Oryctolagus cuniculus: one gene and its partners. The protein of the gene in region 3 purifies or fractionates together with the protein of the main gene of each other region. This does not show direct contact. Links are inferred from orthologs where the notes say so. Each region holds a gene or a part of one and is shown on either strand. Other genes may lie near its edges.

Region 1 (3,646 bases), on a different chromosome or scaffold from region 3:
CTAGCTGAAGAGGCAAACAACCTGTTTGCATGAAAAATATGGAAATAATTCATGAGCTAATTGTTCTTCTCTTCCTATACAAATAACCAATCTATTCTCCACAGTCATGTGGGAGTCATTATACGTTTCCCAATGTTGGTAGCTCTTTGGTTCATACCATCATCTATGAAAGTGCTGATGCCGTGTGGATTGAATGAAGCCAAGTCAAACCCACGGCTGATTCTTAACTCCAGTGCCCTCGGTCTTTCTTCTTTGAGATCCATCATTAGTATTCCTCCAGGCTTATCTGGTGCAAAGCTGTGGAGTCCTGGACACTTCAGACCCTTTCCAAAACAGTGAAAAAAGACAGGTATAAAGGCTTACGTATTTTTATAGCCTAAAGTGGACACTATACATGAATGATAAGGATGATGGCGCAAAGCCCCCGACACAAAGCAGAAAGAAGACAATAGGAAAAACAGAGCTAGAAGGCTGAACGCTGAGTAATAACTGATTTTGTTGGGCGGAAACAGAAGATCAAGGGTTCAGGTTAGGGAGTGTGAGGGGCTGGGACATTCCCGGCAGAGCTGAGGGTGGGGACACCTAAGTTCACGCGTGGACTGTGGAAATCTTGAGGCCCAGGCCTGCGTGCTGTTTCCACAGTGCTACAAGTCTCGGTCAATGATGTCAGTCAGCACTCCCTTCTTACTGCACCCTCATATCCAATCTATCAGCAAAGCCTGCTGACTTTTCCTGGACCATACATCCCTTCCTAAGGCTGTGAACAGTTCTCACCACTTCCTGCACAGCTGCCCTGGTCCAGGTCACCACCGTCATTTGACACCAGTCTCTGCACTGGCCTTTCCGCTTCTGTCCTTTCTTGCATGCTGTCCAGTCTTGCCTCAGAATCCAGATGTCAGATTACATCACACCCCTGATCAAAACCCTCCATCACCTTCAGATTACCAGGAAAATGTTTTACAAGGACCTAACAGCCACATGAGAGCCACCGTTTTCTGCACCCTCCCTGTGGGGAGCAATCCGGACTAGACTAAGTTACTCGAATTAAGACTTATTCTATGCATCTGCTCTCCCACAACATGGCGTTGGGAGAGAAGTAAACAGCTTCCGCACAGCTGCCTCCAGTTCAACTAATAAACTGTAGGACTTGCTCCTGATTGGAGAGCAGCGTACTCGGCGTGTGGGCAGCCGAGTTGGGATTGGCGGAGGAGGACTATAAAGGAGGAGAGAGACGGCGTGCACCAGGAACATCTATGGGGAACATCTAAGGGAACCCGTGCAGCCCCCGAGAAAGCCGGCCGGCGGTGTGCCGCTCCCCTGCGGAAGTGGGGAATGTGGCCAGGGGGAACTGCCCTTCCACGGAGGTGGAAGGGATAGTAGCCAACCCGGGAAGAACCAGCAGCAAACCCGGGGAGGGCCGAGCAGACGAAAGAACAGCGCAGGGTCCTGTGTCGTTCCTCCACGAAGAGGGGGAGCGACACTCCCCCTGCCCCTGCCACATCCCAGTCACCCCATTCCTCTGCCCTATGGCCTGTGACTGTTCCTCATCTGGATTCCTTGTTGTTCTTCAACAAACTGAACATGGTCTTGCCGCAGGGCTTTTACAGTCTTTTCTGCCCAGGAATGCTTTCCCTCTGAGATCTATGGCTCCCTCCCTCAAATTCTTTATAGTTGTTCCCAACGTCCCTGTCTCAGTGAGACCAACCCTGATCAAAATTCCCACTTACCCTGTTCTCCTTAACGCTGGTGTACAGATTTTTTTTCTATTACCCTTACTGCAGGGGCACTTCAAAAAACTCAAGGAAAAATATATGAAAGGGTAAGTTTATTTTAATGCCAAAAGAATTTGAAAACCATGCAGTTTTTGCATAATATGCTCTTTCATGAACTTTTTGAAGATTCCCTCATATCTAGGACATTCATTGGGAATACTGAATGGAACACTGTATTTTGGTTTTTCTTAGTGCAGAGGGATGCCACTGAGTTTGATGTGTTCATTCTGATCCATTAACTTCACTGCACTCTCCTGTTAGTTCTAATCTATGCAGTTAAATTTCTTGGCTTGTTTACAAAAACAGATGAGCAAATTATCTAAAAATAATGGCAGTTTTGTCTCTTTCCTCTGCCTCACATTTAGTTTTTCTTGCGTTTTAGGTTATTAAACTCCAGTAGATTACTGATGGTTTTTGCCAGGCATTTGCTAAGTTTATGAACATTAATAGGACTGCACCTCAAATTTACCACTAGGAATGGTGTTTGTTGCAAGTTCCTTCTCTGCTTAGAGGTTTCAATTAGGAATGAGTATTGACTTCTATTTGGGAACTCACTGAGATCTAGATCTTTTGCCTTTTGAATTAGTCAACCAATATATTATCTATCTATCTAGCAATCAAATGTTTTATCTGCCAATTGATCTATCAATCAAGTTCAAGTAAGTTTTACTTGAATGCACTATCTTATTCAGTTTTCTAATACAATGCAGTCATTGTTTATATACATTTAATGGGCACAACAAAACAGTCTCACTTTATGCACAAAATTGGACATAACCAGAAATTCCTCCAATTAAAAAAACCTATCTATAATTGCATAATTTGAATGCTGGCAGTCCTAGTGAGCAGAATAAGCTGGAATTGTGCTGTTGCTACATAGCAGTGCCTCTTCTATTGTTAATAATCTCTATTCATAATCAGAGTCCCAAAACAATAATATACACAGGAAGATATCCCAGATGGTGATAACTAGACATGGTTATGTTAAATCTTCCTACTATCTAAATATTTCTCCTCATTTTAAAATTGATTGTAGTAAAACAGATAGAACATGAAACTCATCATCTTCACCATTTTAAAGTGTGCAATTCAGTAGTGTTAAGTACACTCACACATTGCTGTTTAAATTTTCATATTCTATCAATCTCTCTTCAAGTCTAATGTTAATTTTGAGGTGACCCTCACCCTGTAACTATGGGACAGGAAGCATTTGATGAGCCAAAATTCTAGGAAGATCAAACGACCCTCATGATATATGAACTGTTTCTTTAGAAGGGAGAGCAGTTTGGGAAGTGTTCAAGACAATGCTGAGTAAACAAATAACAGTGGTAAAGTAGGAATTTTTCTAAATTTATCCCCCCCCCCAAAGTCACATAACCAAGAAAGGATAATATTGAAAAAAGAAACAAATTCTGTTGACATGGCTGCAAGATCACTGTGACTGTAATATGTCCCACTGGGAAAATGATTGCAGATTTTGTGCTTGGAGACCACTATAGTTTGAACATGATTTGGCTCCTGAATTCATGCAGACATTTACATCCCAAAGTCATGACTTGGTAATGTGGCAGGGCAGAGATCTGATTCAATTATGGTTTTTAGGAGAGAGGCCTAGTGGCAAATCCTTAAGTCACGGGGGGAAGTGCCCTCAGAGGGTAGCTCTTGAGAGAGGACTCACTGTATCAGCCTGAATCAGGCCCAACTGCTCTCTCTGGCTCTGCTTCTGGCCTCACCATGGGATCATTTGGCCACACATACTCCATTGTCATCCTCCAGCCTCATCAGATGGCTGAACCAGTGGTGCCTCCCTGATCTTGGACCTTGATCTTCCAAAACCATGAGGTGAAATAACCCCCCTTCTTTCATGAATATCT
Region 2 (4,387 bases), on a different chromosome or scaffold from region 3:
TTTTAGTTACCTTTTCTTTAGGTTCCCCAGTGATGTCTCTAAGATGAGGTGCCATATCCCCACATGGCCGCTACAGAATTTGGCACACAGAAATGCTTACAAAATATCTGTTGCCAGAGCCAGCACAGTAGCGCAGGTTAATCCTCCGCCTGCAGCGCCAGCATCCCATATGGGCGCCGGTTCTAGTCCCAGCTGCTCCTCTGCCCATCCAGCTCTCTGCTATGGCCTGGGATAGCAGTGGAAGATGGTCCAGGTGCCTGGGCCCCTGCACCCGCATGGGAAACCAGGAAGAAGCACCTGGCTCCTGGCTTCAGATGGGTGCAGCTCCAGCCATTGCGGCCATTTGGGGAGTGAACCAGCGGAAGGAAGACCTTTCTCTCTGTCTCTCTCTCTCACTGTCTGTAACTCTACCTGTCAAATAAATAAATAAAATTTTTTTAAAAATATATCTGTTGCCTGAATCAATGGCAGCTCCTAACCCTCTCTCCAGACCGGATCTGAGCTCCAGACCTGGATGCTCAGCTGCCCAGTAGACAAGAACAGGATGTCGGCCAAGAAAGAAGGAGCAAAGGAGGCGGAGGTGGGAAGTATCCCAGGAAGAAGAGCTGGAGCCCGGACAGTTACTCCCAGAGTGCTCCAGCTCTGAGAGCGCCTCTCTTATCGGGACCACAGTCATAGTATCCCTGGCTCTCCACTGGCTCCCCCGGGCAGCCCGGTGCCAATCTGTGCAAAATCCTCTCTCCTGGTTCCCCTGCTCTGCTTCAAAACAGACCGCATTCCACCTCTGCCCTTCAGGCCTTTGCTGCTGGAGTAGGTCACCTTGGGCTGGCACGCCCTCGTCGGCTCTCTTAAAAACGCTGCCAGGGACAGGCCTTTGGCAAAGGCCGCCTGCAGCGCCTCCATCCCTTACTGGAGTCCCTCGCTCCAGATTCCTGCTTCCTGCTAATGAGCACCCTGGGAAGCAGTGGAGAATGGCTTCAAGTGCTTGGGTACCTGCCACCCACGTGGGGAGACCCCCACAGAGATCCTGGGTGTGGCTGTTATGAGCATTTGGGGAGTGAACCAATGGACAGGGGGGCGTTTGCTCTCTCTCCCTCCTCCATCTCTCTCTGCCTTTCAAGTGGAAAAGAAAACAAAACACTGTTCAGACGTCACTGCCTCTGGACTGAGGCACTCCCCGACTGAACTGCCCCTTTGCAGCTCCTGGGCGAGCCCAGGCGGGCCTTAATAACCTCGGTCCCAGGAGGCAGCTCCTTCCCGCCCAAGCACGAGCCAAGGCCGACCTTAACAACCTGGTCTCAGAAGGCCCCACTTCCGGGCTCGCCTGCTTCGCCCGCCCCTGAGCCCAGGCGGGCCAGTCCATTGCGGGTCTCACCGCCACCCACCCTTCCCCCGAAGTCCAGCGGCCCTGGGTCGGACCCTGCGGGAGGACCCCACCGCCCGCGGCTGAGCGTCGCGGCCCCGCCCCCTCAGTGCAAGTGCGAGGCGCCGCCCCCCTGCTCCGCGCACCCCACGCGGAAATGGTTCAACCGAAGGGGCGGGGCTGGGTTGCCGCGGCCCTTAGGATTGGCCAGGGCGAGCCGTACCACGGTGGTGGCGGGGGGAGCGAGCCGTGAGCTGCCGGCGGCGGGCTCGGAGCTGTGAGTGTCCCAATCTGAGGCCCAGGTTCCGTGCCGCGCTGCGCTGTGCCAGGCCGCCGCCGGGATGCAGTGGGCCGTGGGCCGGCGGTGGGCGTGGGCTGCGCTGCTTCTGGTTGTCGTGGCGGTGCTGACCCAGATCCTCTGGCTCTGGCTGGGTACGCAGAACTTCGTCTTCCAGCGTGAAGAGATCGCGCAGCTGGCGCGGCAGTACGCGGGTAAGCGGGCACAGGGCGGGAGCGGGCAGCCGGCCCAGGATCGGAGCCAGGGATTCCAAGGACGCTGTCCCCAAACCTGGGACCCGAGCTGGCCCTGATACCGCCGCCGCTCCTCTGTTTCCGCCAGGGCTGGACCACGAGCTGGCATTTTCTCGGCTGATTGTCGAACTGCGGCGGCTGCACCCAGGACACGTGCTGCCCGACGAGGAGCTGCAGTGGGTGTTCGTGAACGCGGGCGGCTGGATGGGCGCCATGTGCCTTCTGCACGCCTCGCTGTCCGAGTACGTGCTGCTCTTCGGCACCGCCCTGGGCTCCCGCGGCCACTCGGGTCAGTGTTAGCGGTGGGCCGGACTGGGAGGCTGGGGCTGCGCAAGGGCCAGTGTACTCCTTTCTGATCTTGGGCTGAGCCATGTATGTGATGGTGCGGATGCCCTGATGGTTGGTGTCCATCTGTCTGTCACTCAGGGCGCTACTGGGCTGAGATCTCCGACACCATCATCTCTGGCACCTTCCACCAATGGAGAGAGGGCACCACAAAAAGCGAAGTCTTCTACCCAGGTGAGTAGGGAAGGTGAGTGCCCTCACACTGAAAGCGCCCACAGCTGGGAGAGCGAGCAATGGCGTTGAAGAGGGGGTGCTTTGAGGACCACTGCCCCACAAAGCCACAGGTGGTTGGTTGGCCAGAGCTGAGAGACCCTGTTGCTTTCCTCTGTTAACAGGAAGCAAAACATAACAACTTCCTGTTAATAAGTCTGATTTATTTTTGTCTATCTGGACACTTTTTAAAAAAAGATTTATTTATTTTATTTGAAAGAGTTACACACAGAGAGAAGGAGAGGCAGAGAGAGAGTCTTCCATCTGCTGGTTCACTCCCCAACTGGCCACAACAGCCAGGTCTGCGCTGATCCACAGCCAGGAGCCAGGAGCCTCCTCCCGGTCTCCCACGTGGGTGCAGGGGCCCAAGCACCTGGGCTGCCCTCCACTGCTTTCCCAGGCCATAGCAGAGAGCTGGATTGGAAGTGAAGCAGCCAGTACTCAAACCGGTGCCCATATGGGATGCCAGCACTGCAGGCGGCAGTTTTACCCGCCATGCCACAGTGCCGGCCCTGAACACTGTTTTATCCAGCCAATACCCCAACAAATGTTGGGGAGACAGCTGGGTAATTAGAAAAGCTCTCTCTCATACCTAAAAGACAAGACAATCATCTTCCTCTCCATTTCTTTTTTAAATAGTGAAACAACTTATATTAAAAGTAGAGCTTTGGATTTCCAAGCAGGTTTGAGGTGGAGGATGAGCATGGCCAGTATTGTGACTGAACAGCTCGGAAAGCCTCACAAGTCCTGTAACCGCGCGCTCCCTCTCTAACAAGTCCAGCCCAAGTTTAGCTAACTTTCTACTTGAATTGAATGAGGCTTGGGATTGCAGACTTCTTTAAAAAAAATAATTAACTTATTTTAAAAATATTTATTTATTTGAAAGGCATAGTTACAGAGAGGCAGAGAGTGAGAGGGAGAGGTCTTCCATCCAGTGGTTCACTCCTCAGTTGGCCACAAAGGCCAGAGCTGGACTGATCTGAAGCCAGGAGCTAGAAGCTTCTTCTGGGTCTCCTACCCTGCTCTCACCTGTGCAGGGGCCCAAGCACTTGGGCCATCTTCTACTGCCTTCCCAGGCCATAGCAGAGAGCTGGATCGGAAGTGGAGCAGCCGGGACTCGAACTGGTGCCCACATGGGATGCCAGCCTGCAGGCAGCAGCGTTACCCGCTCTGCCACAGCACCAGCCCAGGGATTGCAGACTTCAACGACTTGCATAGAAAGGCCTGTGGCCAGGTGAGGTGGCATCCCCTTGGAGATGCCACAGAAGAACATTTAGGAATGGCCATCTGGGCCCCTGACCCCTCTCATGGGACACCCGGCCAGCGAGGTAGAGCTTTTCCCTTTCTTGAAGCTCTCTCTCCATTCCTGATTCCTCACTGGTCCATGGGCCAGGGAAACTGCAGCAGTGGAAGGACTGGGCTCCTCACATGGGTATTCATTGTCCCCCAGGGGAGACGGTGGTGCATGGGCCTGGCGAAGCAACGGCTGTGGAGTGGGGGCCAAACACGTGGATGGTGGAGTACGGCCGCGGTGTCATCCCATCCACCCTGGCATTCGCACTGGCTGATACTGTCTTCAGCACTCAGGACTTCTTCACCCTCTTCTATACTCTTCGCTCCTACGCCCGGTGCCTCCGGCTCGAACTTACCACCTACCTCTTCGGCCAGGACGCTTGACCAGCCATGCCAGAAAGAAGACCTGTGGATGGACAGGAGCGGGCAGGCCCGCACACATCCACTTCCTGGAGCCCACGTGCAGATAGGGACATGCTTACAGCACGCAGGTGCTGAGTCCCTGCTGTACGGATAGGGACATACGTGCTTACATATCCAAACACGGACGTGTGGGAACAAGTGGGACATATACAGAGATACCAAGTCCTGTGCACACTGCAGGCTCATGCACTCACACCCATTCAGAGAGGGAGCCCCACATAT
Region 3 (3,160 bases):
ATTCCGCTTCTTTGAACAGCGAAACCAGCGTTTGCGAGGGAACCCCAGTTTCACACCAGGTGGGAATACCATAGTCCTACCCGGGTAACTGCAGACTCGCAGTAGGAAGCCTCAGTAAGCAGTGCCATCGAGTTGGCTTTCCCTAGAATTCAGGCCGGAACCCTGAGGCGCAGCGGAGCTACCGCTGCGGGCTGCAGGCTGCAGGCATCACTCTATCTCGGGAACTCGTTGGGAGGTGGTTTGGGGTGGGAATGATCCGGAGGCTGGACCCAGCCCAACACCTGGGAACGTCCCTTTGGAAGAAACAGGAACACGACAGCAGGTGGTGGCTGAGAGTTTCCGTGGCCTGCACTTTTTCTGAGCGCTGTAGCTGCAGGCAGGAAGGACCGGCTAACGGTGCTGTGCCCTCAGCGAGGGCGGAGTCCTCAGTCACACTCCCAAGTCTGACCCTGGGCCAGTGCAGAGCAGCTCCCGGCCTCCCGGCCGCACAGTGGGCCTACTCTTCCTGCACCCGGCTTTCCCACGCATCTCGGGAACAGGGGTTGTGAAGGCAGCAGCTTTGTGATAGAAGGGGCAATCCAGGCTTAGGAAAACAAAGTGTTTTATTCAAGAAAAATAAGTTAAGACCTAGCGTACACACCGAACGAGCAGTCTCTGCTTTCGTGCCATATCTAATGGGCGGTGCCTTCTGCTTCTCTCTATAGGAGAACACTGTGAAGAACACGTTGCGTTTTTCAAACAGGTGTTTGGAGAGCAAGCTCTAATGAGGCCCACAACCTTCTGAAATCGCTTGGTAGTGTGGTCTTTTTTTTTTTTTTAATATATATATGTATATATAAATGTGTACAAAGTTAATTTATTGCATTAATAAAGCTCTTTAAACTACAAAATGTTACAGTAAAGTGTATCTACAACATTCTCAAATGCTACTAAAAATATGGTCTAGAACTTGGGTGATGGCTTACTCCTAAAAACAGGAGCGACAGCGCACCGCCTGGCCTTCCGCAGTGACAGCGAGCAGGTCATGCTTACAGCCATCCAGCGTCCCCTCCGCTTGCTGCCGGGCGGCGCTGGGCGAGGCGTCCGTGTCCGGTGGTTGCCTTCCTTCAGATTGCGTAACACTGCTTCACTAGCCAGCCGTGCGTTCCTGAGTTTAAACCTCTACAGCCACCGCTGCTGCTGCTCGGCGGCCTGGTGTTGGGGAACATCCCGGGTTCAGCTCGGCCTTGGCAGCGCAGCTTTGTCCAGGGGGGAACCTGGCAAAGTGACCGACCCTTAGACACAGTTCACAGTCACCAGGCCCTGGCAGAGGCCTAGAAATTTAGGAGTCGCTCTCGCTCAGTACCTTTGTATCGCTCTTGAGTGGCACAACTTTTGGCTTTATTTGTTGAAGGGCCTGTGGGGGAAAAGAATACTCTTCAGTCACTGCGGGAGCCAAGGTGTAGCTCAGAGACTCACGGGGCCAGTTTCTCTGCCCCAGAGAGGAAAGCAAGCCCCTCTTCTCAGCCTTCTAGTCCAGCACAAGTCATAAATCAAGGCCGCAGCCGTGTTCTGGGAGCCGCGGTCACTTAGTGGCAGTGGCCACAGACGTCGTCCGCTGACGAGGACAGTCCCACCGTGCGGGCAGCAAGGGCCCACGCTGCTCCCGCGAGGCGGGCGTGGGCCTGCTGCTCCGCAGACTGCTTCAAGGTGTGCCCTGGACCCCCTGCGCAGGCAGGGCGAGCAGCGAGACTGCACCAGCTGGCCGGTCATCAGCCAGCAGACTGCTCCTCTCGCCTCTCGGAATTTTTTTTACCCCGTGTTCCTTGTCAGATGCCCACCAGCACGGAAGGATGCCTTAGGGTAGCTTTCCCCCTAGTAACACGCTCCCCGCCTCCTGCCCCTGTTAAGACTAAGAACGCTCACCTATGTAACTGAGCAAGACCGGGAGGAATATCAACCCGTGCGTGGCGCCCAGCAGGACCATGGCCAAATACATCCTGAAGTAAAAGATCTGGAAAATCTGAGATTTGGCAAAAGCCAACACCACAATCCCTCCAAATTTTGTAAGTGTGATTCCACTGAATACCTAAAAGAGAAGAGCGCGTGAGAGCCCGCTGGTACCCGTCTGTCGGAACTGAGCCCTTTCTCTGCCAGGATTTCTCATATTCAAGGAGGCGGCGGCGGCGCGGGCACCCTGGTGGGGGGCTGCAGTCTACCTGTGCCTCTACGAGGCTGAGCGGGCTCAGGTATGAATGGGTGCAAGGCTGTTTGCTCTGCAGCGGCACTGCCTCCTGTCTGCAGACACACGTCTGTCTCAGGTGCACACGGAGCGTTCGGAAACAGAAGTGTTAGCTTTTCCTAACGTTCTGTTCCACAGAGGAGAAGGGGCTGGCGGCCAGGCTAACCCGGGACAGAGCTGAACTGGGAGACGCTGCAGACGTCAGCTCCACACTGCACCCTGGGCTCGAGCCTGTGCCGCGTGCAGCTCCTGCAGATCTGACTTCTCGCGGTTTCCCTGCTACAGAAGTCACACACACCGGTGCCAGGTGCAGCTGCTCCAGGAACTGCCAGGGACTTGGCCTCGCTGGCAGCTGCTTTCTAAAGCACGTCTCCGAACTTCAGTTCCTCCTCAGGAGTCGTCCCAGCCCTGGGCGCGCCCTGCGGGATACTCACAGAGCTGCCCATGTGAGCGAGCGCCTCCTCCGCGCGGGCCACACGGCTTCCTTTGGCACTCACTGTGAACGCTCTGGTTATGTGGCTGCAGAACTCCACGGAGATGCCACAGCTCTGAAATAAAGCACTTCCCTCAGCAGGGCTCTTGCCTGGTGCGGTGCCCCTCGCCCCTGCGATGTGTGCTGGAGTCCCACTCCCCCGCTCCCAGCACGGCCTGTGCCCCCGGGTCCTAGGGCGTGTGTGCATCTGGTGGGGGAGGTGCCAAAGCCTCCCAGCCACAGCCGGCCCTGCGCAGCCTGCACGCTGTTGTCGCTCCTGGCTGTCCCCACCCCGGCCCCACGGGACTCCCAGCTGGATGTGCACCTATCACCTCTGGAATGCTCACAGCTGCAAGATTGTCACTTAACTATCAAAAAGCACCTAGCCACTGGGAACTGGGCAGACAGCCCCCGGGGAGGGCAATATTCTGGATCAACAGTGAACGCCCTTAGGCTGCACACTGCCC

What was found.
Region 1: the proteins of NPC1 (region 3) and PON2 purify together in Homo sapiens (affinity purification with mass spectrometry; 3 studies listed by BioGRID and IntAct, with this or other methods). This does not show direct contact. The link is inferred for Oryctolagus cuniculus from reciprocal best matches to the Homo sapiens genes NPC1 and PON2.
Region 2: the proteins of NPC1 (region 3) and SIGMAR1 purify together in Homo sapiens (affinity purification with mass spectrometry; 3 studies listed by BioGRID and IntAct, with this or other methods). This does not show direct contact. The link is inferred for Oryctolagus cuniculus from reciprocal best matches to the Homo sapiens genes NPC1 and SIGMAR1.

The regions. Positions count from the first base shown.
Region 1 is NC_091447.1:40,771,115-40,774,760, reverse strand, and holds part of PON2 (serum paraoxonase/arylesterase 2), read right to left. Parts: intron 324-3,646; coding exon 158-323; intron 1-157. UniProt on the Homo sapiens protein: Capable of hydrolyzing lactones and a number of aromatic carboxylic acid esters. Has antioxidant activity. Is not associated with high density lipoprotein.
Region 2 is NC_091432.1:197,662,282-197,666,668, reverse strand, and holds the start of SIGMAR1 (sigma non-opioid intracellular receptor 1), read left to right. Parts: upstream 1-1,558; 5' UTR 1,559-1,704; coding exon 1,705-1,855; intron 1,856-1,982; coding exon 1,983-2,183; intron 2,184-2,320; coding exon 2,321-2,413; intron 2,414-3,899; coding exon of another isoform or gene 3,900-4,029; coding exon 4,030-4,259; 3' UTR 4,260-4,387. UniProt on the Homo sapiens protein: Functions in lipid transport from the endoplasmic reticulum and is involved in a wide array of cellular functions probably through regulation of the biogenesis of lipid microdomains at the plasma membrane.
Region 3 is NC_091441.1:54,241,456-54,244,615, reverse strand, and holds the end of NPC1 (NPC intracellular cholesterol transporter 1), read right to left. Parts: intron 2,770-3,160; coding exon 2,656-2,769; intron 2,069-2,655; coding exon 1,906-2,068; intron 1,397-1,905; coding exon 1,346-1,396; coding exon of another isoform or gene 1,314-1,345; exon of another isoform or gene 1,257-1,313; coding exon 1,216-1,256; 3' UTR 785-1,215; coding exon of another isoform or gene 705-784; 3' UTR 585-704; downstream 1-584. Other genes in the region: RMC1 (regulator of MON1-CCZ1 complex), read left to right, coding at 1-59, 705-784. UniProt on the Homo sapiens protein: Intracellular cholesterol transporter which acts in concert with NPC2 and plays an important role in the egress of cholesterol from the endosomal/lysosomal compartment.